Linked DNA regions of Cricetulus griseus. The protein of the gene in region 5 purifies or fractionates together with the protein of the main gene of each other region. This does not show direct contact. Links are inferred from orthologs where the notes say so. Each region holds a gene or a part of one and is shown on either strand. Other genes may lie near its edges.

Evidence for each region.
Region 1: the proteins of Pogz (region 5) and Cbx1 purify together in Homo sapiens (affinity purification with mass spectrometry; 7 studies listed by BioGRID and IntAct, with this or other methods). This does not show direct contact. The link is inferred for Cricetulus griseus from reciprocal best matches to the Homo sapiens genes POGZ and CBX1.
Region 2: the proteins of Pogz (region 5) and Znf428 purify together in Homo sapiens (affinity purification with mass spectrometry; 3 studies listed by BioGRID and IntAct, counting the BioPlex papers as one, with this or other methods). This does not show direct contact. The link is inferred for Cricetulus griseus from reciprocal best matches to the Homo sapiens genes POGZ and ZNF428.
Region 3: the proteins of Pogz (region 5) and Cbx5 purify together in Homo sapiens (affinity purification with mass spectrometry; 5 studies listed by BioGRID and IntAct, with this or other methods). This does not show direct contact. The link is inferred for Cricetulus griseus from reciprocal best matches to the Homo sapiens genes POGZ and CBX5.
Region 4: the proteins of Pogz (region 5) and Champ1 purify together in Homo sapiens (affinity purification with mass spectrometry; 4 studies listed by BioGRID and IntAct, with this or other methods). This does not show direct contact. The link is inferred for Cricetulus griseus from reciprocal best matches to the Homo sapiens genes POGZ and CHAMP1.

The regions. Positions count from the first base shown.
Region 1 is NC_048600.1:109,949,852-109,955,921, forward strand, and holds part of Cbx1 (chromobox protein homolog 1), read left to right. Parts: intron 1-2,859; 5' UTR 2,860-2,896; coding exon 2,897-3,036; intron 3,037-3,530; coding exon 3,531-3,708; intron 3,709-4,796; coding exon 4,797-4,891; intron 4,892-6,070. UniProt on the Homo sapiens protein: Component of heterochromatin. Recognizes and binds histone H3 tails methylated at 'Lys-9', leading to epigenetic repression. Interaction with lamin B receptor (LBR) can contribute to the association of the heterochromatin with the inner nuclear membrane.
Region 2 is NC_048602.1:27,016,025-27,022,672, reverse strand, and holds the start of Znf428 (zinc finger protein 428), read left to right. Parts: upstream 1-2,588; 5' UTR 2,589-2,828; intron 2,829-2,915; exon of another isoform or gene 2,916-2,979; intron 2,980-3,347; exon of another isoform or gene 3,348-4,301; intron 4,302-4,813; exon of another isoform or gene 4,814-4,930; intron 4,931-5,136; exon of another isoform or gene 5,137-5,198; intron 5,199-6,648.
Region 3 is NC_048595.1:399,590,890-399,596,959, reverse strand, and holds part of Cbx5 (chromobox protein homolog 5), read left to right. Parts: intron 1-2,405; 5' UTR 2,406-2,447; coding exon 2,448-2,584; intron 2,585-6,070. UniProt on the Homo sapiens protein: Component of heterochromatin that recognizes and binds histone H3 tails methylated at 'Lys-9' (H3K9me), leading to epigenetic repression. In contrast, it is excluded from chromatin when 'Tyr-41' of histone H3 is phosphorylated (H3Y41ph).
Region 4 is NW_023276807.1:67,001,454-67,007,523, reverse strand, and holds the end of Champ1 (chromosome alignment-maintaining phosphoprotein 1), read left to right. Parts: intron 1-1,793; 5' UTR 1,794-1,842; coding exon 1,843-4,200; 3' UTR 4,201-5,351; downstream 5,352-6,070. UniProt on the Homo sapiens protein: Required for proper alignment of chromosomes at metaphase and their accurate segregation during mitosis. Involved in the maintenance of spindle microtubules attachment to the kinetochore during sister chromatid biorientation.
Region 5 is NW_023276806.1:61,638,313-61,644,382, reverse strand, and holds part of Pogz (pogo transposable element with ZNF domain), read left to right. Parts: intron 1-319; coding exon 320-657; intron 658-1,643; coding exon 1,644-1,798; intron 1,799-3,956; coding exon 3,957-4,057; intron 4,058-4,519; coding exon 4,520-4,666; intron 4,667-6,070. UniProt on the Homo sapiens protein: Plays a role in mitotic cell cycle progression and is involved in kinetochore assembly and mitotic sister chromatid cohesion.

The DNA.
Region 1 (6,070 bases), on a different chromosome or scaffold from region 5:
GAATTTGAGTTTCTACATATATTAAAACTTTTGTCCAGACACTGGTAATACCAGTTTAATCCAGATTGGACTATTAAATTAATCCAGAACAATACTCCTTCCTTGGGGAGGTGAGGGAATCCAGACACGATCTCTCAATCTAGTCCATGTTGACCTTAAACTCCTAATTCCCCTGCCACCACCTCCCAAAATGTGGAATTACAGGCCTGTGCCACCACACCTGGCACATATGCTCCATTCTTTGTATCTCATTCTGGATAATTGATTGTTCGTTTCTAAGATTCTAGCCAATTTTGTTTTACTGGTATATTTACAGCGCCATCTGCCGACACAAGTTGGTAATTTTAAGGCTTTGGGCACTTTCTCCATTCAAGGTATTCTGAACACTTTATAGTATGCTACCCAAGAGTGTTTAGGGAACCTGGATATAGCTCTGGCCTGTCAGAGGTGTGGTGGTACACACCTTTAATCCCAACACTGGAGAGGCAGATATCTGTGAGTTTGAGGCTAGCCTCGTCTACAGAGTGAGTTCCAGGACAGCCAAGGCTACACAGAGAAGGGGGCGGGGGCTAGAACATCAGAACTGAATGGATTAAAAGGTAAGAGGTTTACAGGGAACTAAAGTTTATATGCTAGAATATTTCAGGGACTTTCTGATTTAGGGTATTGTGTAGACAAAGATAAACCTTGAACCCCTTGATTCTCCTGCTAGGATCACAAGCATTCGTGCGCCACCATGCCCGGTTTTTAGGGGTCAAATGCAAGGCTTCATTTGTGTGAGACAAGCTCTCCACCAACTGACCTGTATCCCCAGCCGTATTTGGGGTTTTCATCAAACAAAACCAACTTCCAACATGAAAGAACAAGTTTCACCCATATATAATTCTATGTGTGGATGTGTGTTGGAGCATTTTTTAGACTTGTGTGGTTATTGCTTTTAATTATTTCGTGTGCATTGGTGTTTTGCCTGCATGTATGTCTGTGTGAGAGTGTCCGATCCTAAGGAACTGGAGTTATGGTTGAGAGCTGCCATGTGGGTGCTGAGAATTGAACCCAGGTCCTCTAGAAGAGCAGCCAGTGCTCCCAACTGCTGAGCCATCTCTCCATTCAGAAGCATGTTTTAGAAAAGAATAAACTCAGGACCTGCACTTGGCCTTGAGTACTAAAGTCAGGTGGCCTTGAGTTTATGTGGAACCCATAGGAAGGTGGAAGGAGAGAACTAGCTGCACAAAGTTGTCCTGCCCAAAAGAAGACAAACTTTACTACATCTCTGATGGCTACCTTCCTCTTTTCCCCCTGCTCATTTTCTAAGTTATTACAGTACTCCAGCTTAAATAGTTAATCTGGTGCTTCTTCTAAGCAGTCTTGAGGCTTAGAAATAAAGTAAACTAAGTCAAATAATAGTGATTTATGGGCAAGGGCTGTAGCATAGTACCTAGCATTCTTGAAACCCAAGGTTTAATTCCTAGTACTACCAAAGGGAAAAATGGGAGTTGGCTGGAGTTGTAGCACAGTTGGTAGAGTAGTCTCTTGCCTTGTATATTATACAAAGCCCTGTGTTCAGTCTTTTAGCACTACTGGGGGGAAGAGACAAGAGGGTCAGAAGATCAAGTTCATCCTCTGCTACATCATGTGAGGTAGCTTAGCCAAGCCCGAGACCCACATGGAGCTGACTCCCACAAATTGTCCCGTGACCTCCGTGACACCCAAACTTAGACTACATGAGTAAATGCAGTAAAAGAATTTTTAAAGTTTGAGCTGTGAATTTATGATGTCATTCAAGAAAAGCAAAGTGAAAAATAAAGGGACTTTTTAGCTGGACATGGTAGCATACATCTATGATCCCATTACTTAAAAGATAGAGACCAGATCAGGGATTCAAAGCCATCCTGAGCTATATGAGACTGTGAAGGCTGGGCGGTGGTGGTGGCACATGCCTTTACTCCCAGCACTCGGGAGACAGAGGCAGGAAGATCTCTGTGAGTTCGACCCACACATTGTAGTATCACCTATAATTCCATCACATAGAAAGCTGAGGACAGGACTGGAGAGATGGCTCAGAGGTTAAGAGCACTGGCTGCTCTTCCAGAGGTCCTGAGTTCAATTCCCAGCAACCACATAGGTCACAACCATCTGTAGAGATCTGGTGCCCTTTTCGGGCCTGCAGACATACATGCAGACAGAACACTGCATGCACAACAAATAAGTAAATAAATAAATAAATAAATAAATAAATCTTTAAAAAAAAAAAAGGAAAGAAAGCTGAGGACACCTTGGGCTTCTTAATAAGTCCTTGTCCAAAGGGAAAGAAATTTGCTGTGAGATTAATAATCATGGCTAGGGGTTAGAAAGATGGATCTGCAGTTAAGAGCATTGACTGCCCTTCCAGAGGACCCAGCATCCACATGGTAGCTCACAACTGTCTGTAACTCCAGTTTCTGGGGACTTGACACCCATGGCAAAACACCAATGCACATTTTTAAAAATGAATTAAAATAATAATTGTGCTTTTAAAAAAATAATCGTGCCGAGTGGAGGCAGCAGCATGGGCCTTTAATCCCAGCACTCAGGAGACAGAGGAGGCGGATCTCTGTGAGTTCAAGACCAGCCTGGTCTACAAGAGCTAGTTCCAGGACAACCTCCATAGCCACAGGGAAACCCTGTCTCAACCCCCCCCCCCAAAAAAAAAAAAATATAGCTAACTTGCTAGCTAACGTGGAAACGTGGTTGTGAACTGGAGATAAGTAGAGCATTATACATAAGCAGTGTACATCATCTGTGATTTCCCTTACCATCCAGATATTTATCTGACCAGTAAATGTGCCTTGATGCCCTTTTTATTTTCTTTTGTCATTTTAGCAGCGTCACTCTTTACACCGGAAAGCTGGCGGGTACTATGGGGAAAAAACAGAACAAGAAGAAAGTGGAGGAGGTTCTAGAAGAAGAGGAAGAGGAATATGTGGTGGAAAAAGTTCTTGATCGACGAGTTGTCAAGGGCAAAGTGGAATATCTTCTAAAGTGGAAGGGTTTCTCAGAGTAAGTTTCATTGGCACAGGTAAATTCAGTCCTTATGCTTGATACCTGTTCTGTGATGGGTATACCTGGGGTCAGTCCTGACCTCCACAGCTGATAGTCTACTGAGGAAGGACCTACATGCAGAATACTGCGATATATGGCAGCATTTTGTTTTGTGTATGTGGCATGTGTGGCCTTAAGTCCTGGGATGAAAGTCAGGTCTTCAGGCTTGCCAGATGTCTCCTTTTTCCCATTGAGCTATCTCACCAGTCCACAACAGTGATTTCTGAGGAGCAATTTGTATAAGATAGTCCACCTCTGCAAAGTAGTTTTTCCTTGAAGAAGACAAGTTTCTAAGCCTTTGGTCTTTACCATCCCCTGCTAGGAAACTTCTTAATTTTGAACAAAAATCTAGCTGTTCCTTATCATTTAACTCTCTTCCAAGACTACCTCCTCTCTTAGTTACAAATGTTGACTTGAGTGGAAGTGTAACTTGCTGTGATTGCTGGTTTCAGTGAGGACAATACATGGGAGCCAGAAGAGAACCTGGATTGCCCTGACCTTATTGCTGAGTTTCTACAATCACAGAAAACAGCCCATGAGACAGATAAATCAGAGGGAGGCAAGCGCAAAGCCGATTCTGATTCTGATGATAAGGGAGAGGAAAGCAAACCAAAGAAGAAGAAAGAAGAGGTGAGAAACTTAGGACAAGGATTTAAGTATTGGGCTTACAATTATGAGCTACGATACTTGAACTTCTTCCTCTGAATCTCAGCAGTTATGTCCTCTGTCCTTCGGAAATAAACTAATGTTTTTAAAAGATTTGGAAGTCAACCATGTGCACACCTGTAATCCTAGCAGAAGGATCAGGTATAAGAGACCTTGACTACAGGAGACCTTGTCTCATTGAAACATAACAAAACCAAAAAAAAAAAAAAAAAAAAAGGATTTGGGACTTATTCCTGTAAAGTGATCTAATCTTTTTATCTATGGTGCAAGAATGATGGGATAGCCGGGTGTTGGTGGCACATGCCTTTAGTCCCAGCACTTGGGAAGCAGAGGCAGGGGGATCTCTGTGAGTTCCAGGACAGCCAGGACTGTTACACAGAGAAACACTGTCTTGAAAATCCAAAAAAAAAAAAGCACTGACTAGCTGCTCTACCAGAGGTCCTGAGTTCCATTCCCAGCAACCACATGGTGGCTCTGTAATGAGATCTGATGCCCTCTTCTGGCATAAAGGATGTAACAGTTACTGGAGACACATGACAGCAACTGAATTTGTTTCCTGTCAGTAGATTGCTGTCAATAGATTGCTTTTAGTTTTTTGTTTGTTTGTTTGTTTTTTAGATTTATTAAGTATACAGTGTTCTGCCAGCATGTGTGCCTGCAGGCCAGAAGAGGCACCAAATCTTATTACAGATGGTTGTGAGCCACCATGTGGTTGCTGAGAATTGAACTCAGGACCTCTGGAAGAGCAGTCAGTGCTCTTAACCTCTGAGCCATCTCTCCAGCCCACTTTCAGTGTTTTGATCATTACAGATTTGAAGTAGCTGTTTTGTCTTACTTAGTATCTTAATTAATTTACCTTTGAAGAGACAGCATGAACATTTCTTTTGCTTGGGGTGTGTGTCCCATTCATGCCAGGGGTACCTCATGGTGTGGGAAGCAGAGGAAACCTTTAGTGAATGTTTGTGATTACATTTCTTAGAAACACAGCAATAACTTCATTCTGGATATAGTCCTATGCCAATAAAATTGTTCTGTCCTTCTGGTTTTTACAGTCAGAAAAGCCACGAGGCTTTGCCAGGGGTTTGGAGCCTGAACGGATTATTGGAGCTACTGACTCCAGTGGAGAACTCATGTTCCTGATGAAATGGTGAGTCTGCCAGTGGCTCTGTGTGGTTGTTTCTTCCCTTCTCCATCTGTTCTATGCCAGAGGAAAAGAGCTGCACCTTCGAAATTCCAGTCGCCAGGTGTGAATCTTTAAGATGACATAGTCCTTCGATAGTGATCCTCGGCATGACTACAAACCTGGACTCATGAGTTACAGGTAGGGGCCCTTAGGATTTTCAGATCTCTGATTTTTTTTTTTTTTTTTTTTTCTTTTTCTTTTGGTAGGTGGGAGAGACTATGGAGAGGAATCACATTTCAGTTCTGTTGAGTAAAGAAAAAAATTCTGAGATGTGATTGGATTGAATTTCCCTCCTTCTCTGCCACCTTCTTAGTAAAGATCAGGCCGGCCCCAAAAACAGGATTCTGTTCATGTTTGAGGGTAGGAAAGAATTTATAGAATTTATTTTTAAATTTCAAAATTAGCCAGCAGGGGTCAGCAAGGCCTCTACTGTTTACTGTTACTGAGCATAATGTAAGCTTGCCTCTTTCTATTAAAAATACTAGTGGTAACAATGTAGACTTGTTCTAAATAGAAACAGTGGGTGGTGTTTGTTAGCACTAGGCAGCATCACCTGCTGAACATGCTTGTACTTGCTGTATTTTTGTGTGCTGCCAGCACAGTAGGTTTCTATGACTGGCATGCACCACGGCATCACTCGGTAATGGCCAGATAATGTTCTGGCCAGAACATTATCAAGCAGTACATGGCAGTACTTTCAAACAGTTTAATGAAGAGTTCAAGTTAGTAAAAGTAATTATCTTTGTTTTTTTATTGTTTTGAGACAGTTTTACTCTAGCCTAGGCTTGCCTTGAACTTGAAATCCTCCTGCCCCAGACTCTGTGCTGAGATTACAGGGACATGCCACCATGATGGACTAGGAAGAGTAAGTGTTAAGCCATTGCCAGTTAAAATAGGATTGTCAAGTCTTTGTCCTTTGATTGGTCTAGAAATTTCTCTGAAACTAGTATCTATGGTAGTTCTTCCCTAGATAATGGCTGGAGTAAGTTCAATGCAGGTGAATGCCTGTGTCACAATGAACTAACCACCTATTTTCTTCTGTGTGTTCCTCCAGTCTTTATTGATTCGGACCCTCTTCTAACTTACAGGAGAAAAGAAAAACTGAATAAATAGTAGTATGTGTTAAGTAGTCTAGTTAGGATA
Region 2 (6,648 bases), on a different chromosome or scaffold from region 5:
CTTGAGTGTGGGCTATACATTAAGTTCCTGTCTAATAAAATAAAATAGAAGAAGCTGGGTGGCGGTGGTGCACACCTTTAATTGTAGCGTTTGGGAGGCAGAGGCAGGCGGATCTCTTTCATTCGAGGTCAGCCTGAAATACAGAGGGAGTTCCAGGACAGCCTAGGCTACACAGAGAAACATTGTCTCAAACAAAACGGTGGAGGGGGGGGGCGCTGGTTGTTGATGGTTTATGCCTTTAATCCCAACACTCAGGAGGCAGAGGCAGGTGGATCTCTGTGAGTTTGAAGCCAGCCTGGCCTACAAGGTGAGTTCCAGGACAATCTCCAAAGCAATACAGAGAAACCCTGTCTCGAAAAAGCCAAGCAACCAACCAAAAAAATAAATAAGACCAAAACAAAACAAAACAAAAAGATAATGCACCTTTAATCCTAGTACCTGGGAGACAAGCACAGGTAGATTTCTGTAGCCAGCCCTGTCTATATAGCAAACTTCAGGCCAGGGCTATATAGTGAAACTCTACCTAAAACACACACACACTCTCTCTCTCTCTCTCTCTCTCTCTCTCTCTCTCTCTCTCTCTTACACACACACACACACACACACACACAGAGAGAGAGAGAGAGAGAGAGAGAGGTGGCATACTGTTTTATTTTGTTATTAATGGAGTCATGTTATTAATGGATCACGAAGTCTCAGGAACTCTTCACCCACCATCAGAAGTAGGTACTGTGTCAGTCTCCCTAATCCACTCAGGCTGCAGGTGCTGTATCATTAAGGAAGGCCCCTCAGGTTGGCATCAGTGCCAAGACAAAGTAAGCACAGAGCAGCAGGTGGGGGGGGGGAAGCATTCTCAGATAAAGCCAACAGCAAGATCAAAGCCTGAGACAGCAAAGAGAGGACTGTGTTTGAGTGCTGGGGATCTGAACCTGATAAAAAAACGGGGGTGGGGTCCAGAAAAAGCATCAGGGTCAGAAGTATTGGAAAGGCCAGGTATGGTGACGTGGCCCTGTCACTGGGGCATTTGGGAAGCTGAGGCAGAAGAACTTGCAGGAAGTGCGTGAAAACTAGCATGGAGCTAGAGTGAGTTCCAGGCCGTCGTGGGCTGCACATGGAGGCTGTCTCAGGAACAAAGCACAACTTTCGTTCTCCACCTGTAATGGGACTCCAATGGAGTGTTTTAGGTTGCTAGTGATAAAATCAGTTTTTTTTTGGTTGTTGTTTTTCAAGACAGGGTTTCTCTGTGTAGCTTTGGAGCCTATCCTGGCACTCACTCCGGAGACCAGGCTGGCCTCGAACTCACAGAGATCCGCCTGCCTCTGCCTCCCGAGTGCTGGGATTAAAGGCGTGCAATGCCACCAATGCCCGGCATAAAATCAGTTCTTTCGAGCACAGTTTGGGACGGTTGTGATGGCTACATATAGTCAGCATAAAGTTATAGCTCTTTAAAATCAGCTACAGGAGTTGGGCTTGCTGCCACATGCCTGTAATTTCAGCTCTAGAGGCAGTGCTCAAGGTCATTCTCTTTAACCCCGGGGAGTTAGAGACTAGCCTGAGTCCCTGCATCAAAAACAAAATACAAAACAAAAAACAAACACTTAAGAGATTTTCTCCTCTCCAATTGTGTCCACGCAAAAGAAGCGGCCTTCACTTCCCTTGAGAATGCAGACACCCTTTTGCCTCTGGGCATTTGCATTAGAAATTTCCCTCTGCCGAGAGACTCCCAGTTGAGCTGGCTCCAGTTCAGGCTTGGCTTAAAAATCAGCCCTGGAAGTCCTTGCAGAACCCGAGCCTGGGGCAGGCCTCTCTGGCACCCGCAGCCTCCTGCTCGCCACCTCCTCCGGGTGTGCAGTTGTAGGCTTCAGTCTAAACAAGATGTGGTCCGTCTTCCTTACGCTGAGGGTACCGGATCTCCCGAAACGCAGCAGCCACGTGCTGGCCTGATTCTCCAGGAGGGCAATGAAAAGTCTTACTCTGGCCGGGCGTTGGTGGAGCACGCCTTTAATCCCAGCACTCGGGAGGCAGAGGCAGGCGGATCTCTGTGAGTTCGAGGCCAGCCTGGTCTCCAGAGCGAGTGCCAGGATAGGCTCCAAAGCTACACAGAGAAACCCTGTCTCGAAAAACCAAAAACAAAAAAAACAAAAAAACAAAAACCAAAGTCTTACTCTGGGGGCGAGAACCTGCTCCTAGACCTGGTGCATTTTCAGGGCAAGGCAGCCAGGCCACTTTGCTCAACGCTGCAGTCGCTGGACGCATGCGCCTTGCTCAGGTCGCCCCCCCACCACCCCGTCCCCATCCATCCTTGCATCCATGCATGCGTGCATGCATATGCTAATCACTGCGCTGGGAAGGACGGCCTCTCCCGGGAATATGCAAATCACATCCTCCGGTGCGGGAGGGAGGCCTTCCTTTGTCCCGCGCTAGCATTATGCAAATAAGCGAGCTTGCAACCCCGGGGTCGGGGGCCGAGTGCTCAGCCAGCCCCCTCCCTCCCTCCTCCCTCCCTCCCTCCCCTCCCCTCCCCTCCGAGCATCCCCTATTTATGCGCTGTGCTCGCTCCCTCGCGCTCGTCCCTTCGGTTCCCGAAGCCGCGGGCGGGCTCTACCGAGTCCAGCGGGGCCGTGAGCGGCGGGAGTTCGGGTCCCCGCGCCCGGTGCGAGCCGCTCTTCCCACCAAACGGCCCGCCTGGCCGCGCACGCGCCCTGGGCTCCTCCGCTCGCCCCTCTCTTGCTCGCCCAGGCTCCCTGAACGCAGGCGCAGTGCCCGGGCTTGCAGCAGCCGCCGCCGTCGCCGCCCCCGAGTGCGAGCCCGAGTGCGAGCCGGGGCCGGTGAGTGTCCGGGCTTGGGGTGCGCGGGGCATGCTGGGAAGCGGGCGATACGGCCCCGCTGCATGACGGGAGCCCGGCCGCCCCGCTCGCCCGCTCGCCCGCTCGCCCGCCGCTCGCCCGCGGCGGCGGCGGCGGCGGCGGCTCGGCCCCGGTGAGCAGCCCCGAGCGGGAGAGTCGTTGGCTTGCCTCGCCTCGCGGCCTTGCGGGAGGCAGCCTCGGGCCAGGCGCGTTACGGGAAGGGCCTGGGCTCCCCGGGGTGGGGGTGGGGGTCTTTTTCTTTTCTTTTCTTTTTTCTTTTTTTTTTTCTTTTTTTTTTTAGAATGTGGTCGTTCAAGGCCCGGGGCGTCGTGGGAAGTTGTCACGGGGCATTGTTTGGTGCCGGGGTTCGGGGTTTGCGGTTTGGGGTTTGTGCGAGCCTTGCTGCTCGCTCCCACCGTGTCGGGTCTGCGTTGTGTGCGGTCCGGGCCACGTTATTGCCTTGGTGGGAGGTGACGGGGGGTGGGGTGGGGGACACACAGGGGTTCCTGTAGCCCTGACTGGGGGTGGCTTTGAACCCCCACTGTTGTGGAGGGTGACCTAAGAATTTATAGTCTTCCCCAAGTGCTGAGTTTGCAGGGGTGCAGCACCACGCCCAGCTGAGTTTCACCTGTAGGGCTGAGGGTGGTGATGGGGACACACAGGGTTTCCTGTGGCCGTGACTGGGGGTGACTTTGATCCCCCACTGTTGTGGAGGGTGACCTAAGAATTTATGGTCTTCCCCAAGTGCTGAGTTTGCAGGGGTGCAGCACCACGCCCAGCTGAATTTCACCTGTAGGGCTGAGGGTGGTGATGGGGACACACAGGGTTTCCTGTAGCCCTGACTGGGGGTGGCCTTGAACCCCCACTGTTGTGGAGGGTGACCTAAGAATTTATAGTCTTCCCCAAGTGCTGAGTTTGCAGGGGTGCAGCACCACGCCCAGCTGAGTTTCACCTGTAGGGCTGAGGGTGGTGATGGGGACACACAGGGTTTCCTGTGGCCGTGACTGGGGGTGGCTTTGATCCCCCACTGTTGTGGAGGGTGACCTAAGAATTTATGGTCTTCCCCAAGTGCTGAGTTTGCAGGGGTGCAGCACCACGCCCAGCTGAGTTTCACCTGTAGGGCTGAGGGTGTTTCCTTTCTTTTTTTTTTTTTTTTTTTTTTTTTTGTACCCCCACTATCTGTCTCGGAAGTCATTCAGTCTGGTGGCATCCACGACTTCTGTACCGAGGATGGTTGCACCTGATAGATGTGGAACATTCTGGAAGGAGCTTGGTGTAATGTGGGTTTTTGCAAAGGGAGGGTTGTCCCCAGGTCACCCCGAGGGGAAACTCCGGACGATCCCTGGTGTGGTAGCCAAGTAGGCGAACAGTGAAAGCCCTTGGTGTGGTGACACATGCCTGTGTATAGTTCCAGCACCCCTTGGCCGGGGCAAGAGAATCAGGAACTATATATAGGTCAGTTCTGGCTGCATAGTGAGACCCGATCTCAAAACAGAGGGAGAATGGGTTTGGGTGGTGGTAGGTACAGCATGGAACAAGTATATTATTTACCCAAGATAGAAACCAGCTGTTTTTAGTTTAGTTTGTTTTTTTCAGGCATAATGTAGAACTAAGATTTTATTTATTTATTATGTACACACCATTCTGCTTCCATGTCTATCTGCACACCAGCAGAGGGCGCCAGATCTCATAACGGATGGTTGTGAGCCACCGTGTGGTTGCCTGGAATTGAACTCAGGACCTCTGGAAGAGCTGTCGGTGCTCTTAACCTCTGAGGCATCTCTCCAGCCCGGGATCCGTGTGTTTTTAAGTTCCCCCTCGATTGAAGCCATTCCACTCTTCCTACTCCAGCTGCGTTTCCCCTGACAGTGTACTTGACGGCTAGGCTTTGAAAGAAAAAAAAAAATAGTGTACTTTCTACTGTTGTGTCCCCAGTGCCTAACATACAGGCTTTGTCATATTTTTAGTGAGGCTGAGCCCCGTGGAGTGGTGCACGTCTGTAATCCCTGCACCTGAGAGGCTAAGGTTGGAGGATCGAAGGTTCAAGGCCAGCCTGGACTGGATAACACTAGTCTGTGGAGAGTGTAAGGATATTGGCCCTCTCACAGTGCACGGGGAGGAGGGAAGGTGTGCTTTGGGAGAGACAGGGATTATTAGGACTGAGGAGAGGTGTAGAATGTGTTTATAGGTGCGTTTTTTTATTTTTATTTTTTTGGTTTTTCGAGACAGGGTTTCTCTGTGCAGCTTTGGAGCCTGTCCTGGCATTCGCTCTGGAGACCAGGCTGGCCTCGAATTCACAGGGATCCTCCTGCCTCTGCCTCCCGAGTGCTGAGATTAAAGGCCCGGCTATAGGTGAGTTTTTGCAAGGTGAAAATTAGTTCTCGGGGCCCGCAAAGAGGAAGGAGAAAACTCCAGGTGGAAACTTCAGGATATACTAGGACCTCTTCCCCTCTAGCTATAAAGGGCCTGTGTGCACCCTCGAGAGGTCTGGAGTGGCTGGGGGGATGGGCAAGGGCCACCACACACCTGCAAGTTCTATGAATCTTAGGGTTTTTTTTCTTTTTTTTTTTTGAGATGGTCTCATGTAGCCCAGACTCTGTGGTCAACAATGACTTTAAACTTCCATCCTAAGGGCTGGATTACAGGTGTGGATGGCCACGACTCTGAGCCTATTGATGTTCAAAGCATGGCTTTGAATGCTTGTTCAACCACCAGTCTGGGGCGTTGGTGGCGCACGCCTTTAATCCCAGCACTCGGGAGGCAGAGGCAGGCGGATCCCTGTGAGTTCGAGACCAGCAGCCTGGTCTACAAGAGCGAGTTCCAGGACAGCTTCCAAAAGCCCCAGAGAAACCCAAAACAAAAAAAAAAAACCAAAACCAAAAAAAAAAAAAACCCATCAGTCTGGTGAGGTGACCTCGATCTTGGGCTTTGGAATACCTGAGGGGCCTTTCTGTTCCTTATTTCCTCTTCTGCTTCAAGGGAGCTGTTTCTGTGTGGTACTGAGTGCACCAATCAAGGCCTGGTGGCAGACTTTCCAGAGAAGGAAACAGACAAGAGAAGTTGGGTCCTGTCTGGAGCTATAGCCAGAAAGGCACATATTTGGGTTTAAACCTAGTCAAGGCTGACTTGCACAAATTAGTGTAGGATGAGGCCTGACACTCACTCGGGGCATGGCGGTGCACCTGTAATCCTGGGGTTTGGCAGGAAGATCTGGAAATCAAGGTCATTTGAGACTATTTAGTGACCTTGAGGCTAATCCAGGATGGGGGGGGGGAGTGAAGAGTGGCACTGGAGCTCAGTTGGTACTGTGCTTGCCTAGCACGCACGAAGCCCTAGGTTTGATCCCCAGCGTTTGGGAGGTAGATCGGGGAGCATCAGAAATTCAGGGTCAGCCTCGGATATTTGAGCTCTCATAAAAACAAAACACTTCCAGGACAGTTAGTATCTCCACTGTACCATGTTTTTCTGTATCCCTAATTTTTAATGAGGGCCTCCCTCAGTCCCTGACATCCCTTGCCTCTCAACAACTAAAGGGTTAATGCTTTATGATTGGTGCCCATGCCAGTACCTACCTTTGAATAACTAGGGATGTTATCTCTTCCCTAACCTACTGAATAAGATCCATAAAGTCCTGTTTCCCAGATAAGGAAGTTGAGGCCTCCAGGAGGCAGGGTCTGCAGAGTCGGGGTTCTGTGTACAGTCAAGACAGAACAGAGGCCAGCAATGTCTCACCCCCAGCACTGAGCACAGGGGGGTCTTGGAATGGGGACAAGTGTTATGTAAAAATTTATTGAGTCATCAC
Region 3 (6,070 bases), on a different chromosome or scaffold from region 5:
TCTCAAACAAGAAGTTACATAGTGTCATTAAAATACTTCCCCTCTCCCTTTCCCTGTTACTTCTTTCCCTCAAGCTATTTTAATTAACTGTACAGTGACAGATGGTGGAAAAAGCTTTGTCCAAAGTGCTTCTAGATTAGGGTGGTTTGTCTTGGGCTGTTGTAGGAAGGGCCTACTCTTACCCCTCCCCCTCTGCCAGTGAGCTGTAATCCTGTTAGGTGGTCCTAAAATGAATGCAATTGATTAATTCACAGTGCTTTTAGAAGAATAAGCCTAAATTTTGGACTTTAAACCAAAGAACTAACCCCCTTTAGCTCTGAAAGCCTTAGCCTTGAGGCCAAGGGAGGTACCTTCCAACTTCTCCACCCAGTCTGCAGTGAAAAGGAAAGTTAAGCCTTTTAACTTTTTCATTTGCCTCTCTCTCTTAGTCTAGTAAGGCTGCCAGTTGCCATGGCAACGGACTGGGACAGCTGCGCAGTGGCGCCCAGGCAGCTGGGTGGGGGCGGGGGAACTGCCAGCCCGCCAAGCCCCAGACCTGGGAGGGGAGGCCCCTCCTGTTAGCCCAGAGGGAAAGAACGAACTGGGGCGATCCGGTAGGTAAGGGAGGGAACCCCTATTGATCTACTTAGGGCTTCTCTTTAGCATGAAGGTATAAAGAAAAAAATTCTCTTCCTCCCTCAAACTGTAGAACACATATGTAAATCCTTGTTTTTTTCCCCTGGTGAGGCAGGGAAGGCCATAGCCACAATGCTTAACTGCATGCTTCCAACATGGGGCTGGTTTAAACCCAGCGCTCTGACCTAAACTGCTCAGCTCCCGGAAATTCCAAGGTGAGTGGGGGTGGGGGTGGGGTACTCTCTTCTGGAATATGACATTTCCTGTCTGTACTGAGGTCGGAGGCTATTTATTTTAAATAAACGTTATTATATTTTTTTGATGCCTGGGAGTCTTCTAAATTAATGGAAAATTTATTTGAAAACCTTTTTACCTATATTTCCCCATGCCTTCACTCTCAAGTAAAGTTATTATAGGTTAGAAATTAATACAAGCAGTTTTTGTGACTGGCCTACCTACTGCTAATAAGTTCTGTGGATAGGATTTTTCAACACTATATTCCTGTAATGTTTCTTTAAAATTACTAATTTGAAATAAATTGATAAATACAAACTTCTGCTTCTTTGACTTGAACATAATTCTGAGATTAGTTACCCTTTCTATACCTGAGGTTGGCTTTCTGGCCAAGATGGAAATGTTATGAAAAACATCTTTAGAAATTATAGAGAAATAACAGCGGAGTCAGCTGAGATTGATTCCTGCTATTTGATAATCCAGACTGTGGGTACCATTTAACATGATTAAGGAAGAATTCTTTTAAAACGATTATGGTTCAGCAGTGTGGGAATTTTTAAAACTAGATTCTCTGTTGAGCACCTCTGACTGCATATTTCTGAGCCTAATTTCCATTTGTGCTGCCTTGTCCTGGCTTTCCTGGGAGATGAATAGTCCTCTGTGTTCTGAGGAGGCTTCATGTTGATTCAGAATCTGGGGCCAGACTTCTTTCCCCTCCTCTTCCTTTGGCCCAAAGTCAACTTCAGTGAAGAGGCAAGGTACCTCCATAACTGTTTGGGTTAGTCGAGCCCTGGGAATTACAGACTAGTCCAATGACTAATTTTGAATTTTTTTCCCTCTGCCCCCTTTCCCTTCTATTCCCAAATGAGCTTGCTAAAAAGGAGGCTTAGTGTTTTTGAGCTGTCAGCCTTGTTTTTGTGAGCTGATGGACATGCTAAAGGGACAGACTCAAGTTGTTTAAGGGAAATGTACCAAGTCACTAGAAATGTGGTGAGAGATGGTTAACTGCCGTGTGTGTGTGTGTGTGTGTGTGTGTGTGTGTGTGTGTGTGTGTGTGTGTGTATGTACACGTACACGCTGAGAAGAGACTGACCAAAATGCTCAGAGTATGGAAAAGTTACTTTTGGGTGTTTTGTGGGGGAAGGTTTCTTTTTTTCTTTTTCTTCATTTTTATAAAAACATGTATTCGCCTCAGAGGAAAAGGATTTTTATTTTTTGGTTCCTTTAATTGAAGGTTTTCCACATTTTCCTTTGAGTTCCTGGCTCACAAGTAGATGCAGAAATGGTCATGAGTAGCATGTCATGCTACTTGGTTTTTTGAATATTAAAATTAAAGGAATGTGTCATCTAATTTGATCTCTTCAACTGAAGAGAAGTTGTTGTTAGGGAAATGTGGATTGACCCATTTTAAAATTAAATCTGTAGCCCTGTCTTAGAATAATTGTAGACCAAAAAGAAGGGTATGAGACTGACTAGTATTGTACCCTCTGTTCCATCAAGAAGTGGCAGTTATAACCCTCACGGATTGTAACCGTTTTATCTTTATCCCTTTTCAGGAACCTGGTGGCCTTAGTCCTTCAGGTGGATCAGCGTGCGACATGGGAAAGAAAACCAAGAGGACAGCTGACAGTTCTTCTTCCGAGGATGAGGAGGAGTATGTGGTGGAAAAGGTGTTAGACAGACGCATGGTTAAGGGGCAAGTGGAGTATCTGTTGAAGTGGAAAGGCTTTTCTGAGTAAGTGCTTTCTTTTTCAGGCATTAGGACTCTGTAGAGGTAGAAAAATTTACCCAGAGCCACTGTCTTTTTCCCATTTATACACTTTCATAAAAATCAAGAGAGTCAATAGACCACAATAGTCTCCCATTGTGGAGCTGATGTTTTAATAATCTTATATTTGAGGGGTAATTTAAGAAATTGGTTGGGAACACAAATTTGGGAGCCAGATAGTCTGGGACCAGATTCTTGTTCCACCCTTTAAGATATAGGTGGATGAACTTGGCTAATTTCTTTTATTTTTGTTATTTAAAAAATTCTTAGCTGGTTGGTGGCGTACACCTTTAATCCCAGCACTTGGGAGACAGGCAGATCTCTGTGAGTTTGAGGCCAACCTGGTCTACAGAGCTAATTCCAGGCCAGCTAGGGGTGTTATACAGTGAAATGCTGTTTTGAAACCAAAAAGAAAAAGAAAAGAAAAAAAAATATTTTCTTGCTGGGCTGGGTGATGATACACACCTTTATTCCCAGAAAGGGGGGGGCATGGGTTTGAGGCCAGACTGGTCTAAAGATAGTGTTCCGGGACTGTCAGGGCTACACAGAGAAACCCTGTCTCCGAAAACACACATAAATTTTTTTTTTTTTTTTTTTGTGTGTGTGTGTGTGTGTGAGTCTTTTACCTGCATGTATATCTGTATACTGCATTTGTGTTGTCTGGTGCCCACAGTGCAGAGAGCGCATCAGATCAGCTGGAACAGGAGTTGCATATGGTTGTGAGTGGCCATGTGAGTTTTGGGAGCCAAACCATGGTTCTCTGGGAGAGCAGGCAGTGCTCTTAAATACTGAGCTATTTCTTCGGTCCATTGTTTAATTTTATAATCTTTTCATTTTTTCCCCTTTAATAAAATAGGGACAAGAGGTGGGTGTAGTTTAATGGTAAAGTGCTTTCACCTAGCATACTCAGGGTTCTGGTTTGATTCTCAGGTATGCCAGAAAAAGAAAAGAAAAGAAACAGACAAAGACAGAGATAAGACATACATAGTACTTAGAGGTCTCAATGAGTGTGAGTAGACCACTTGTTATGGCAAGTGTGAGCATTTGAATTTAGATACTAGAACCCATGCAGAGTTAGGCACATGCATCTCTCCCTGTGGTCCCACACTGAGATTGAGACTGAAACAAGAGAATCCCTGGAAGCCTGAGGGGTAACTAGCCTGGCATACCTCGCAGTGAATAAGTTTAGAAGGTGGGGACCTACAACTGAGGTGGTCTCAGACTTCCAGTCATACACACCCACACTCATGCAGACAAACAGGAATATACACTTAATAGATACACATGTGCATATATAATAAACGATTTATGAAAAGAAGCCAAGGCTTTAATCCCAGCTCTCTGAGTCAAGTGGATCTCTGTGAGGTCCAGGTTAGTGCTGAAAGCATTGTACTACTATGCCCAGTTTATAACTAGCATTTCAATATAAGTGCTTTTTTGTTTGTTTAAATTTTTAATTTCTAAGGGGCAGGTCACTTTCACTTTCTTGTGTGAGTCAAAGTCTCTTGTTTTGGTTGTGAGCAGGATATCTGAGGCTAGCTTTCAGCCAGTTCTGTCTTTGCCCCCGCATCTTGCAGTAGGAAGACCAGCACATCCAGCTTTTTAGTTCCAGGGACTGAACTCTGGTCTTCAGGCTTGGATAGGAAGTGTATTTACCTACTGAGCCATTTTCACAGCCTGACATCACAACTTTATCTTTAGCAGAAGATATATAGCTCAGTAGTGGAGTGTTTGCCTAGTGTATATGAGGAATTGGGTTTTGTTCTCTTGGATTTTTGGTTTGGTTTGGTATTTTGTTTGTTTGTTTTTGTTTTCGAGTCAGAGTTTCACGGTCCTTGGCTGTCCTGGAACTAGCTCTGTAGACCAGACTGGCCTGGAACTCAGAGATCTGCCTGCCTTTGCCTCCCTAGTGCTGGGGATTGAAGGTGTTTGCTACCACCTGGCTGGGTTTTAATCCTCATTACCACAAAAAGCAAACAAAAACAAAATGCAATAAAAAACAACAGGTAGAAGTAAATTTGCTAAAATAGTCAATGTTTTGCCAGTACTTTAAAGTTAGGTCCCTTCAGGATCTATTGAAAGTTATTTCCTTTCATGATTTAACATTATTCTTATGGAGTACTGGGCATTTTAGGTAAGTTGATTCATGCATAACAGATTATTTAGCATCTGTTATACCAGAGTGCTGCTTTGTTTTTTGTTTTTTGTTTTTTTTTTTTGCTTCCAGACAGGGTTTCTCTGTATTGCTTTGGAGCCTGTCCTGCAATTTGCTCTGTAGACCAGGCTGGCCTCTAACTCACAGAGATCCATCTCCTGCCTCTGTCTTCTAAGTGCTGCAATTAAAGGGGTGTGCCACCAACACCCAGCCCATAGTGCTATTTTTATACAAGGTCTCATAGCCCAGGTTGACCTAGAACTCACTATGTGTCCAGAGATAGCACTTGAAGAGTTCCAGGTCATTCCTAGACTTTCCATCAAATTACCACTAGAAATACTTGTATGTTTGAAAGGTGGTTACAACTGTTTGAACTTTCCCAGCAGTGGTGGCACATGCCTTTAATCCCAGCACTCAGGAGGCAGAGGCAGACGAATCTCTTGTGAGTTTGAAGCCAGAGTGAGGTCCAGGACAGCCAAAATTACAGTGAAACCCTGTGTCGAAAAGCAAACAACAACAAAAAAAAACTGTTTGAACTTTTGGTACTTTTTTGGTTTTTTGAGACAGGGTTTCTCTGTGTAGCTTTGGAGCCTATCCTGCCACGCGCTCTGGAAACCAGGCTGGCCTCGAACTCACAGAGATCCGGCTGCCTCTGCCTCCCTAGTGCTGGGATTAAAGGCATGCGCCACCACCACCCGGCCTGGACTTTTGGTACTTAACATAAGTGAAAGACAAAATTGGGGTAGATAGATTAAGCATTGTCATAAATGAATGTCTGGGATTGGGATTGGAGATAGGGCTCAGCAGTTATGAGCGCTTCTTGTTCTTCTAGAAGACTCTAGGTAGGTTCCCAATACCTTTGTACCACAGCTCACAATGGCCTGTGACTCTGGTTTCAGGAGTCTGATGCCCTATTCTAGCCATCTCCACCACACATAAACATTTTTACATTTTGTAAAAGAATTTAAAATATTTTTTTTTATTTATTTATTTTCATGACAGGGTTTCTCCTTATAGACCAGGATGCCCTCAAACTTAAGATATCTGCCTGCCTCTGCCTCCTCAGTGCTGGGATCATAGGTATGTGCCATCACACCTAGCAAATACAATCTTTTTAGGAACAATTGCCTGGGATTTCATAAAAGGCTAGAATAAATTTTCCTTTCTTCCCTGAGCATTATCTGCAAGAGAAAACCTAGCTATGTACCATGGCAGCGTCCATATATAAACTGTTTCTTCCTATAGCATACATAACTTGTGGTAAGAGTTTAATTTGTTAGGCAAGTACAAGTTTAACA
Region 4 (6,070 bases), on a different chromosome or scaffold from region 5:
CAGGCTGGTCTTGAACTCAACGAGATCCGCCTGCCTTTGCCTCCTGAGTGCTGGGATTAAAGGCATGCACTGCGGCCACCACCACCACATGGCTTGGTTTTTTGTTTGTTTGTTTGTTTGTTTGTTTACCTAGACAATACTCTGTATTATAGTCCTGGCTGTCCTGGAACTCCCTGTAGATCAGGCTAGCCTCGAACTAGTTGCACCAGCAATCTGAGTGCTTGTCAAGAATGTGGGTTAATATTTCCTGAAATTACATAAGCCATGAATTAATGGGGGAGTGACAACATTGGAGGGACTGCAATGGGGAAGATTATGTAAATACAGTACATATCTCTGAAATTTTAAAAAGTTTTTAAGACATTCAAATAAAATAAAAATGAAAAACAACAAACCAAAGATATAAGTGTCTACAAAGAAGAATGAAACAATTGAAATTAGGAAAAACATACTAAATGATTGAAAAAAATAATGGGGTAAGAAAGCATAATTTAAGCCAAATGTGGTGATGCATTTGTAATCCTAGCAGGTGGGAGGTCTAGGCAGGTGGATCAACAGTTTGAGGTCAGCTGAGTGTTGGCAGCACACAATTTTAATCCCAGCAGAGACAGAGACAGGCGGATGTCTGTGAGTTATCCTAAAACTTGCCATGTAGACCAAGCTGGCCTTGAAGTTTTAGGATAGCCAGGTCTACACAGAGAAACCCTTGTCTTGAAAAACTAAAAAGAAAAGCATAGTAAAGCTGGTGTGGTAGGTTACTTCTATAATCCCCAGTACTCATGTGGTTGAGGCAGGAGGATTATATTCAGTTTTCAGGTGGTTATTGAGTGCTACCTAGCAACACCCTTCCTTTTTTTTTTTAAAGGAAGTAAACAAAGAAGAAAGGAAAACTTTAAGCATCAGTAGTGACATACTACTTGCCACCTATATATAGCAAGGATTTTTAATGTTATTCATTTTTGAGGAGTTGGGGAAATCTTTCTCATCTGTACTCTTGCATATTTTTAAATTTAATCAAGTACTTTGAACCATGAAATATTCTCTACAAAACTACACAAAGAGTAGAAGAAAATTCTATGCTTACTCTCTGTATAAAAATGCCCTAGATGGACTCTTAAAGTGGTTAGACACAGATAAATGTAGTATGAACCATGTGTGTCACACACTGTGTCCTTGAACATTTCCTCAGTGACACTAGCTGCAGTGAAAACACTGACTTACAATTCCAGCCTCCATAATATTCCCTGTCTGACCGTTGCTGGAGTGCTCTGGAAAGTGCTGTGGGGTCTCACTCAGAGGCCTTTCCAGCAGCTTATCTGTTTTTATCCCAGGATGGATAAATCTTACAAAAACTGATAGAAACGATAGCCATTCAGGTTAAAACAGCCTTTCCATAGCTAGACTTACTAATTTATTTCCTGGAAAGGATCTAAAGTTAAGATGTGTGTTATCACCTTTGTGTGTTGACAGCTTGTAGATTCAGGATTTTAGGATCAAGTGTAAAGCTACAAAAAATTCATTTTTGAGAACCTGAGAGTCCTAAACCTGAACTAGAGGAAGTCAAGTCAGTTGGTTTCTCTGAAAACGCAGTTTCTTCGCCTGTAGATGAAAATACTTGAGTGATGGTGTCAGGAGGACCATGTTAGGAATCAGTCTCCCACAGGGCAGCCTGCGGAAGTGTTTTGTGCAGCAGCTTCTGCCTTCTGGACTTGAAGCTGTGCATTGAGTGTTTACTGAGGACAGTGTCCCTGCAATAATCTCTCTCTCCCTCTCTGTCTCTCTCTCTGTTACAGCAGAGTGGAAAGCTGTTAAAACACACGAAGCCATCTGCATTAGCGTAAGATGGAAGTGTTCCCGGAACTGCATACTCCGTCACTAAGCTTGGAGTGTGATCACTGTGGTTTTAGAGGCACTGATTATGAGAATGTGCAGATCCACATGGGCTCCATCCATCCTGAGTTTTGTGATGATATGGACACTGGAGGACTAGGCAAGTTGATATTTTACCAGAAGAGTGCAAAGCTCTTCCACTGCCATAAGTGCTTCTTTACCAGCAAGATGTACTCTAATGTGTACTATCACATCACAGCCAAACATTCGGCCTCAGAGAAGTGGAGTGACAAGCCAAAGGACCAGTTGAGCAAAGAGACCCAGTCTGTAAAAAGCCCTTCCCTTCCTGAACACCAGAGCACAGCCTTTGACCCAGCAGAAGTGAGGCCTACTCCAGCCCTCCCTGTAGAAACACAGAAAACTGGTCCCAGTTTGTCTCCAGAGCCACAGAAGTCTGTTCCTCCTGCCCTGGAGCCTCAGGATTCTGGCCCTGTCTCTCCTGAGCCACAGGCACCTTGTCTTCCTGCTGAGGCCTCAAAAACTGCTTCTGTTTCTTCTCCTGAATGCCTGGACACAGCCAGTGTGGTTTCTGAGCTGCAGAAGGCTGGTCCTGCTTCCCCTGAGTCTGTCAAGTCTGCTCTTGTTAGCTCCAAACCCCAGAAGCACTCTCCCTTTGCAGATACAGGGGCCCCCCCTTCTGCCTTGTCTCCAGAGTCACCAGTTCTGGCCACATCTCCTGAGCCTTGGGGGCCATCCCTAACTGCATCTCCTGAGTCTCGGAAGCCATCCCCATCAGAGTCTCCTGAGCCAAGGAAGCCATTCCCTGCCATCACTTCAGAGCCACGGAGACCAGCCCCAGCAGTATCACCAGGTTCCTGGAAGCCAGGACCACCTGGTTCTCCTCGGCCTTGGAAATCCAGTCCTTCAGCGACATCGGGACCTTGGAAATCATCTAAACCTGCTCCATCTATTTCTCCTGGACCTTGGAAGCCAATACCATCTGTATCGCCTGGGCCTTGGAAGGCAGCTCCACCTGTTTCCTCTGCATCCTGGAAGTCTTCAGTTTCATCTGGTTCCTGGAAAACGCCCCCCACATCCCCAGAGTCATGGAAGTCTGGTCCCCCTGAGCTCCGAAAGACGCCTCTTGCTTTGCCACCTGAACACTGGAAGGCAGTGCCCCCTGTGCCTCCTGAGCTTCGAAGACCAGGTCCGCCTCTCTCCCCCGAGATCCGAAGTCCAGCAGGATCTCCAGAGCTCAGGAAGCCTTCAGGGTCCCCAGACCTTCGGAAGCTTTCTCCTGACCAGCGGAAAAGCTCTCCTGCTTCACTTGATTTCTCTGAGTCCCAGAAAAGTTCTCGTGGTTCTCCTGAGTCCTCCTTCATTACAGAGTCTCAGAAGCCTAGTGTCTTCCCCGAGGCACGGAAACATGCTTCTCCTGGCTCATCTGAGCCCCCAAAGGTGACCTCAGACATATGGAAGCCTGTCCTCTCTATTGATGCTGAGCCTAGGAAGTCCACACTGTTTCCTGAGCCCCCCAAAACAGTCCTTCCCGCTTCTCCTGAGCCACGGAAACGTGCACTTTTCCCAGAGTCCCGGAAGCATGTACTTTTCCCTGAGCTCCCCAAATCTGCTGTGTTCTCTGATACTCAGAAGGCCACTGAGCTTAGTGAGGAGCTACAGCTGGAAGCTGTAGATGATGCAAAATGTGATAGTGTGGTCCAGGAAGGGCTTCTGGCTACACCCAAGAAACTGTTAGAAGATGCTTTATTTCCTTCTTCCAAGAAGCTCAAGAAAGACAGCCAAGAGAACTCGGATGCTGAGCTCAGTAGCAGTGAGTACATCAGAACAGATTTAGACACCATAGATATCAAGGGCCAGGAGTCAAGCAGCGACCAAGAACAGGTGGATGTAGAATCTATTGATTTTGGCAAAGAAAACAAAATGGAGATGAGTAGTCCTGAGCAGTCCAAAAATGTGCTTCAGTTCACTGAAGAGAAGGAGGCATTCATTTCTGAGGAAGAGATTGCAAAATATATGAAGCGTGGAAAAGGGAAGTATTATTGCAAAATTTGTTGCTGTCGTGCCATGAAAAAAGGTGCTGTTTTGCATCACTTAGTTAATAAGCACAATGTTCATAGCCCATACAAATGCACAATTTGTGGGAAAGCATTTCTTTTGGAGTCTCTTCTTAAAAATCACGTAGCAGCCCATGGGCAAAGTTTACTTAAATGCCCACGCTGTAATTTTGAATCAAATTTCCCAAGAGGCTTTAAGAAACATTTAACTCATTGTCAAAGCCGGCATAATGAAGAGGCAAATAAGAAGCTGATGGAAGCTCTTGAATCACCATTGGAGGAGCCACAGATGTGACTTTCAAACAATACCTGCTCTGCAATGTTTTTTGCCAAACTCAAGCTTGTTGAATAGCCTAGTAGATGCTGTGTAGTGTATCCTGTTCGTCTTAATAGTGTTATAAAGAATAAGCACTTGGTTACTTTTTTTATGTGACCTCCTGTTTATGTGGCTGGCTGTTTTATAAGTCAATACATTTCTGTTATGTATTCCAGATGGATATAACTCATTATCCTTAAACTCATTTTAGTCATAATACAAGGAGTGGGAGGAGATAGGCAGTTCATTTAGTAAACAAGTTTAAACCTAATTAAAACCTTTCTCCTCTCTCTTCCTTCCTCCCTCCCTCTTTCTCCTTCTCTCCCCCCTCTCTCTCTCTGTGTGTGTGATTGATTTCAGATCATAAAAACTATTAGGTAGAGGGCTCAGTGGTAGAGCACTTGCCTAGCATGTTTTGAATATTAACTGTTCCACAGTTCAATCCCTAGTACCTTAAAAAAAAACAAAACAAAACAAAAAAAAAGATGGTTTGAGAATTGAGCATGAAAAGTAAATTTGAGAAAAATTTTGTTAACCTTATAAGTACTTTTGAATCATGTTTCATATCCTCTTTCTTCATGTAAAATCAGTATAAGAATCTTTAATACTTTCCTGGGTGTTGTGGAGCTGGAGTCTTAGGGGTCACTGGTTTTCTGCTGATAGGACAATTGAGTATACCTAAGTGGTTTTGCAAAGACTGAGAAGACCATGTGATTAAGGCTACGCTTAGCTGTAGTTATTTTCAGTTGTGTCTTGGCCCTCACTCGCTTCTCTGCCAGTTCACATTAGCAGATGATCCATAATTGCCAAACCCCCTACTCCTGAGCCTTCCATGCTCCCTGCTGGGGCTAAGACCTGGGTAATAATGAGAAGGAGCTGAAAGTCATCCCGACTCACAGTTCAAAATGAATGAATAGATAGGAAGTACACACTAGCCTCAGTTACATGAGAGGCCAAGGATCACTTGAGCCCAGCCTGGGCAGCATAGCGAAACCTGTAGAAACATTCTGATTTTCTTTCTCACAGTTTTGTCATTGTAAATACCTTGTTTCTCTTCATGGATGATGATTTTAATGTACTTTGTTAAATGTTTATCAACCAAATTAAAAAGGCTTTGGCTTTCATGTTAATATCTTCGTGTACTTTCTTTTAATAATTGTGTTATAGTCATGACTTCTGTCATTGTGTCAGATACTTGAGGAAGATAGTTTGGGAAATGTCCCGCGTGCTCTGTATTTCTCGCCAGCAAGAAATCATACACGGGACACTCGGATCCTTCTGCAGACAAGCTTTAATGCATCTTGAGAGTGAAAGAGCAAAAGCTTCCCAGAGCGAGACACTAAACCAAGAAAACCATCCCTTATAAAGGCTGGCCAGCCGCCTGGGACGTGTTACCCTATGAATGGCTTCAGCTCCTCAGGCCAAAATGAGCCACGGGATAGGCAGAGATCAAAGGAATGGAGATTACCCAGCGCCTGTGAAGTAATTTACATCTTGGTGTCTTCAGGCACCTATTATTGTAATGGATAATGCAGGAACCGGCTTCCTACAGGGAAAGGCTTATTTTGGCTCATGGGTTGGGAGGTTTCAATAGGTTGTAAGCCTGTGATGTGGAGGAAGGGTATGGCAGAAAAACACTGCTCACCTCATGGCATCCAGGAGTAAAAGAGGAGTGAGGAAGGGCCAGGGTCAAGGCCAAACCTTCCTCCAACTGTGCCACCACCTCCCAGTAGTAGACTCAGTTTTTAGTCTGCTAGTAGTTGAAACCATTGGCCAGAGCAGAGCCCTCATGACCCACTCCTGAAAATGTCCACTCAAGTACATCGGGTGTGCTTCACTAATGCCGTGA
Region 5 (6,070 bases):
CTCTAGACAGGCAGGTGGGAGAGCTCTAAAAGGTGTAGTGTTAGAGGCTCTGTGGACATATAAAAGAAAAATGTGAACTCTGGGATTACTAAAAAAAGCAAGATGAAAGCTGGAAGATAACCACCTTACCCAGCTCAGGTGTGCTAATGAATGCCTATAGTCCAGCTACTCCTGGACTATCCTGAGCAGAGATCCCAGTGTCCACAAACATATCCTTTATTGCCTACATTAACAGATCACTCCCAGGGACTATTAGTGATATGGATTTAGCTCATCCTAGTCTCGGGTAATCAGAATCATGACGTCATCTCTTTTACAGTACTGCTGCCCTGAAATGGTTGAGTACCAGAAGAAAGGCAAGTCCCTCGAAGCAGAGGCCAGTACTCCATTGGCAGCAAAGCCCTCATCCCCTGAGAAGACAGCTCCCATCACTTCCACACCCTCCTCTACACCTATTCCTGCTCTCTCACCACCTACCAAAGTACCAGAGCCAAATGAGAACGCTGGAGATGGCGTCCAGACCAAGCTTATTATGCTAGTTGATGACTTTTACTATGGACGGGATGGGGGCAAGGTAGCCCAGCTCACGAGCTTTCCTAAGGTTGCCACATCTTTCCGATGCCCTCATTGTACCAAAAGGCTAAAGAACAACATTAGGTAAGCATGAAAGTAGACAAATTTTCTTACCTTGTTAAGTTTTTCTTTTTGGAAACATTAATTATGATGCAGTCTTGTTAGAAGTTATAGTGTACAATACTGTTATTTTATTAATAAAGGATACCAGTCTCTTTGCACAGAACCTAATTTTAGTTTTAACAACCTATTATTTGGGGACTGGAGAGATGGTTCAGCAGTTGAGAGCACTGCTGCTCTTCCAGAGGACTGGGGTTCAATTCCCAGCACCCACATGGTATCACAACTATCTGTAACTCCAAGATCTGACTCCCTCTCACAGACATACATACAGGTAAAACACCAATGCACATAAAATAAAAAATAAATTATTTAAAAAAAAAAAAAAAAAAGGCCAGGCATTAGTGGTACACACCTTTAATCCCAGCACTTGGGAGGCAGAGGCAGGCAGATCTCTGTGAGTTCAAGGCGAGCCTGGTCTCTAGAGCGAGTTCGAGGACAGCCTCCAAAGCAATACAGAGAAACCCTGTCTTGAAAAACCAAAAAGAAAAAAACAAAAAACATGGTATCTGGCGCTGGAGAAGAGGGCTCAAAGGAAGTTCAAAGTGTGCTCTGCTCTTGCAGAGGATCTGAATCCAGTTCCCTCGCACCACATCGGGTGCTGCTGATTGTGACTCCAGCCCCAGGGGACCCAGTGCCTCTGGTCTCTTTAATCACTGTACCTGTGAGTACATGCCCACATACATAGACACACACGCATGTACAGAATCTGTGAGTACATGCCCACATACACAGACACACACGCATGTACAGAATCTGTGAGTACATGCCCACATACACAGACACACACGCATGTACAGAATTTGAAAAATTTCGCCAGCTCAGAAAAAGACTATCCCAAATAGAGGCAGTTGGAGGAGAGAGCAAATAATATTTGCTTATAATTCTATCATATCTCTCAAAGACTACTGATTGTGTTTTCTGTACTTTCTCTTTGTGCTGTGTTACAGATTCATGAACCATATGAAGCACCATGTGGAACTTGATCAGCAGAATGGCGAGGTGGATGGTCACACTATCTGTCAACACTGTTACCGCCAGTTCTCCACCCCATTCCAGCTCCAGTGCCACTTGGAAAATGTTCACAGTCCCTATGAGTCTACTAGTAAGTTTGAAAATGCAAACTCCAGTGGAGGGGTGGGAGCTACCTTTTTGTCACTTACTGAATGACACTAGCAAAGAGCTCTTTACATGCAGATAATAGTTTTAGGGACTTGCTTTTCCCTATTTCTTTCAAGCCTGATTTTAAAGTACTATAAAATGAGAGCACTAACTTAGAGTAATGAAGTCATTTGCTTAAAACACACATTTCTAGCCAGAGGTGGTGGTGCACACTTTTAATCCCAGCACTTGGGAGGCAGAGTCAAGCAGATCTCCGTGAGTTGGAGACCAGCTTGGTTTACAGAGTGAGTTTCAGGGCAGCAGGGCTATGCAGAGAAACCCTGTTTCCAAAAAAAAAAAAAACCAAAAAAACCAAACACATATATTATTTCTATTGAGTTGGCATTTTGAGATGGGAGCCCAGCATTTTGGATCAATTAATTTTGTTTTTTCTAGACAGGGTTTCTTTGTGTAGCGCTGGCTGTCCTGGAATTCACTCTGTAGACCAGCTGGCTTTGAACTCAGAGATCCACCTGCCTCCTCTTCCTGAGTGCTACAATTAAAGGCATATGCCACCACCACCACCACCCAGCTTCAGGATTTTAATTTTTAGTGTGTGTGTGTGTGTGTGTGTGTGTGTGTGTGTGTGTGTGTGTGTGTGTGTGTGTTTGTGTGCACATGCTCCTAGGCACGGACCTACAGAGGCCAAAGGCATCAGATTTCCTTGGAGCTAGAGTTAGAGATGATTGTGAGCTGCCCAGTATGCTGGGAACTAAGCTCCAGTTCTCTGCTAAAGCAGTATACACTTTCACCACTGAACCATCTCCTCTCCCTGTTCAGATAATTTCTGGTGTCCTTTAAAGGATTGCCAGTTTTATTAAAAGTTATGCTAAGTATAATTATGTTATGGATAGGAGCTTACATAATTATAGTGAGAATAAAACAATATTATATGTTAGTTTTACAGGCTCATGCCTGTAATACCAGCACTTAGAAAGCCAAGGTAGGAAACACCACTGAGTTCAAGGCAATCCTAGGCTACATAAGACCCTGTCTCTAAAGAATCAAACCTGCCTTAGGTGATAGCAGGGATGGTAAGATAATTCCAGGAAGGGAAAGATCTTGTGTTCAGGTTTCACAAAAAGTAGTGGTTAAACTTTCAGAGTTTTTAATGTAGGAAGAACTTAGAAAGACTCAAGGGGTGGGCCATTGTCTGATAAGTACTTACAACTTTAAGTCTTCAATCTCCATATTTCTAGAAACTTGAAAGGCCAGTGAACAAAGAAAAACACAAACATGTCCCCTTTTCTAGCCATACTTTATAATTCAAAATATGAAGCAATTAAAATTTTTATGAAAAATTTATAATTATATCCTTATAATCAAGCTTGACAAATTGGCTGATTTCAGAGTATAATTATCTTGAATCTGTTAATATAGAAAGAGAAATGCCATTTATGACAAAGTAAGAGCATCTGTCCAGCCAAGTGTGGTGACACATACCATTATTCCCTGACTTGGGAGGCAGAGGCAGAATGGTCTATGAATTCCAGGCCATACAGAGTTGTGTAATGAGACCCTGTCATAAAATCAGAAAGCAAACATCTCTTAGTGTTTGTCAGCCTTTTCAGAACAAATTCTTTCTGGTACTTCATGGACAGTCAGTAGATATTCATGAATTACTTATATAAATTAGAATCTTTGTCCTTAGTCACAGGCATAAAATCATGTTGTATTTTAAAAGAACTCATTCAGTAGTGAAGAATGCACACTGCAGATATATGGAAGCTGATGAATAGTAGTAAATCATAAGGGTTTCTACCAAGTTCTTACCTGTCATTGAGTGATGACAACAGTGGGTATTGAGTTAAAAAGAGAAGTAAGAGATAGGAAATGGTAAACAGAGAATGTGATGTCAAGTTAGAAGTAGAGAGAATGCCCAAATTAAAATGTAAACAGTTCACAGTCTAGAATAGAACTTTGTTTAAAAAGACTGAGTTAGAGACATAGGGACATCAGTTGTCATTGGCAATACAAATGTTAGAGCAGAACCATTTTACAGAAGTGTTGGTGATTGCAAGTGGAGATGCAGAGTCAGAAAGAATCTTAAGGGCTATGATCTTACATCCAGGTGCATGTCTAGATTATTTTTCTTCTTACAGCCAAGTGCAAGATCTGTGAGTGGGCATTTGAAAGCGAGCCACTGTTTCTCCAGCATATGAAGGACACTCATAAGCCTGGAGAGATGCCTTATGTTTGTCAGGTATTGCCTTTTTCTCCAGAGCATTTTAGGCATTTTGTTTTAAAACTGATTATAAAGAAATCCTGTAATGAATATTCTTAAATACCCACTGTACACATTCCGTTTAGGTATTGTGAAGACATACAGAAGGAGACTAACACAGTTCCTGTAGTTAGGACTTTCTATAGGGTAACACCCAGACAGGGGCCTCCTGTGCATACTAAGAGAGTCTGTCTCCCAAACTTCCCCTCTCAGGATAGAGGATGCTTTTATTCCTTAGAAAATATGGGTCATTCTCAGACTCTGCTGTCCTTTACTATTTTTATCACAGCTAAACTTATCACCCACATAGATCTCCACTACAGTACCAGAACAATAATATCTATGCATTCAAGAATACCCACCTCCCAGCCCTTGTTGTTACCTCTTTTTATGGCTCCAGTTATTCACTCTTACTCTTATTTTCCTTCTTACGTGACTCAGGTGTGTCAGTATCGCTCCTCCCTCTACTCTGAGGTAGATGTCCATTTTCGGATGATCCATGAAGATACCCGGCATTTGCTCTGCCCGTATTGCCTGAAAGTCTTCAAAAATGGCAATGCATTCCAGCAGCACTACATGAGGCACCAGGTATCAGGCACCAAGACAATCCTGTATTCTCATTTGAATTTCTGGATTCTAGGGTCAGGGTTGAGATAGATAAACAATGTTGGTAGAGAAGATACTACTGTGAATAAACATCATTCAGTTCCTATTACTTGCTACATACTGGGTTAGAGGTTAGAGATGTGTTAACAGGGCAAGAGAGCGAGGAGCAGCTCCCTATCCTGGGAGCTGAGGGGATATCCAGGAGGAAGTGGTGTTTGAGGTGCAAAAGATGAATAATGATGAAGAATAAATAGAACAGAGAAGTAGTGTACCTGAAGCACAAGGTACACCTGGGGCAGTGTAAGGAAGGGAGAGGTGTTCTGTGTAGATAGTGGGATACAAGGCAGGTGTCAGAAGCTAGGTGGGGACAGGAGTTCAAGCCCTGAGTGATAGGTTCCTACTTGTTTTATTCAAGATTTTTCCCTGGCTGCACTTAGTGAACTGAATGGAAACTAGGAGCAGACAAAAGACTAGCCAAAGGCTTTTTATTAATCATGTAGGTAGGAGGTGACAATGGGTGTTGTTTATGAAGTGAAGAAAAGGAATAGAGTTAACAGTTATTGCTAAGATAATATGGTACTTAAGATTTAGAGATGAGTTAAGTGAATATCAAGAGAATAAGAATAGTTCCTAAAACAGGTACTGTCTTTGTCTTCAGAGTTCTATCCATGCTGCTGTCAGGCTAAGTTCCAAAGGGCTTGAGGACTTGAGGCCCTGTAGCCTGGGCTACAGATAGCAAGATCTTTTGTCAAAAAAATCTTAAATGGTGCCTAGTCATCTCTGACAGTTGGATGAATACCAGGACTATTTGCTGAGAAATACTGGAGAAAGAAAATTTTGAGAGAATACTCAGATTTGGGTATTTGGGCTTAGCACTGTCTGTTGACATTACAACAGCAGGTAGATAAAAGATCTGGTCTGGGTTGCTACGAGACTAATTTGAGAATTATTATATAAATTCATTAGGTTTTAATCTAGCCTTAGCTGGCCTCAAACTTAGAGAGATTCATCTGCCTCTGCCTCCTGACTGCTTAGATTAAAGATGTGTACTACCACACCTAGTTGATTTTATTTTTATCTTATGTGTATGCTGTTTTGCCTACATGTGTGTCTGTCCCATGTGCATGCCCTGTACCTGAGTTACAGATGTAAGCCACTGTGTGGGTACTAGGCATTGAACCAGAGTCTTTGAAGAACAGCCAGTAGTACTTCTAACCACTGAGCCATCCCTAGACCCCAGCTGATTTTAAACTTTGTAAGTCCTGCAGATGTGTCAAGGAAAGGGCTGAGAGCCCTTGAAGTTTCTGTCCATAAAACCACCGCAGTAATCCTAGTAGGAGTTGTGATGCCAAGGAAACTGAGTGTTCTGGAGAAGAGAGTGATCAA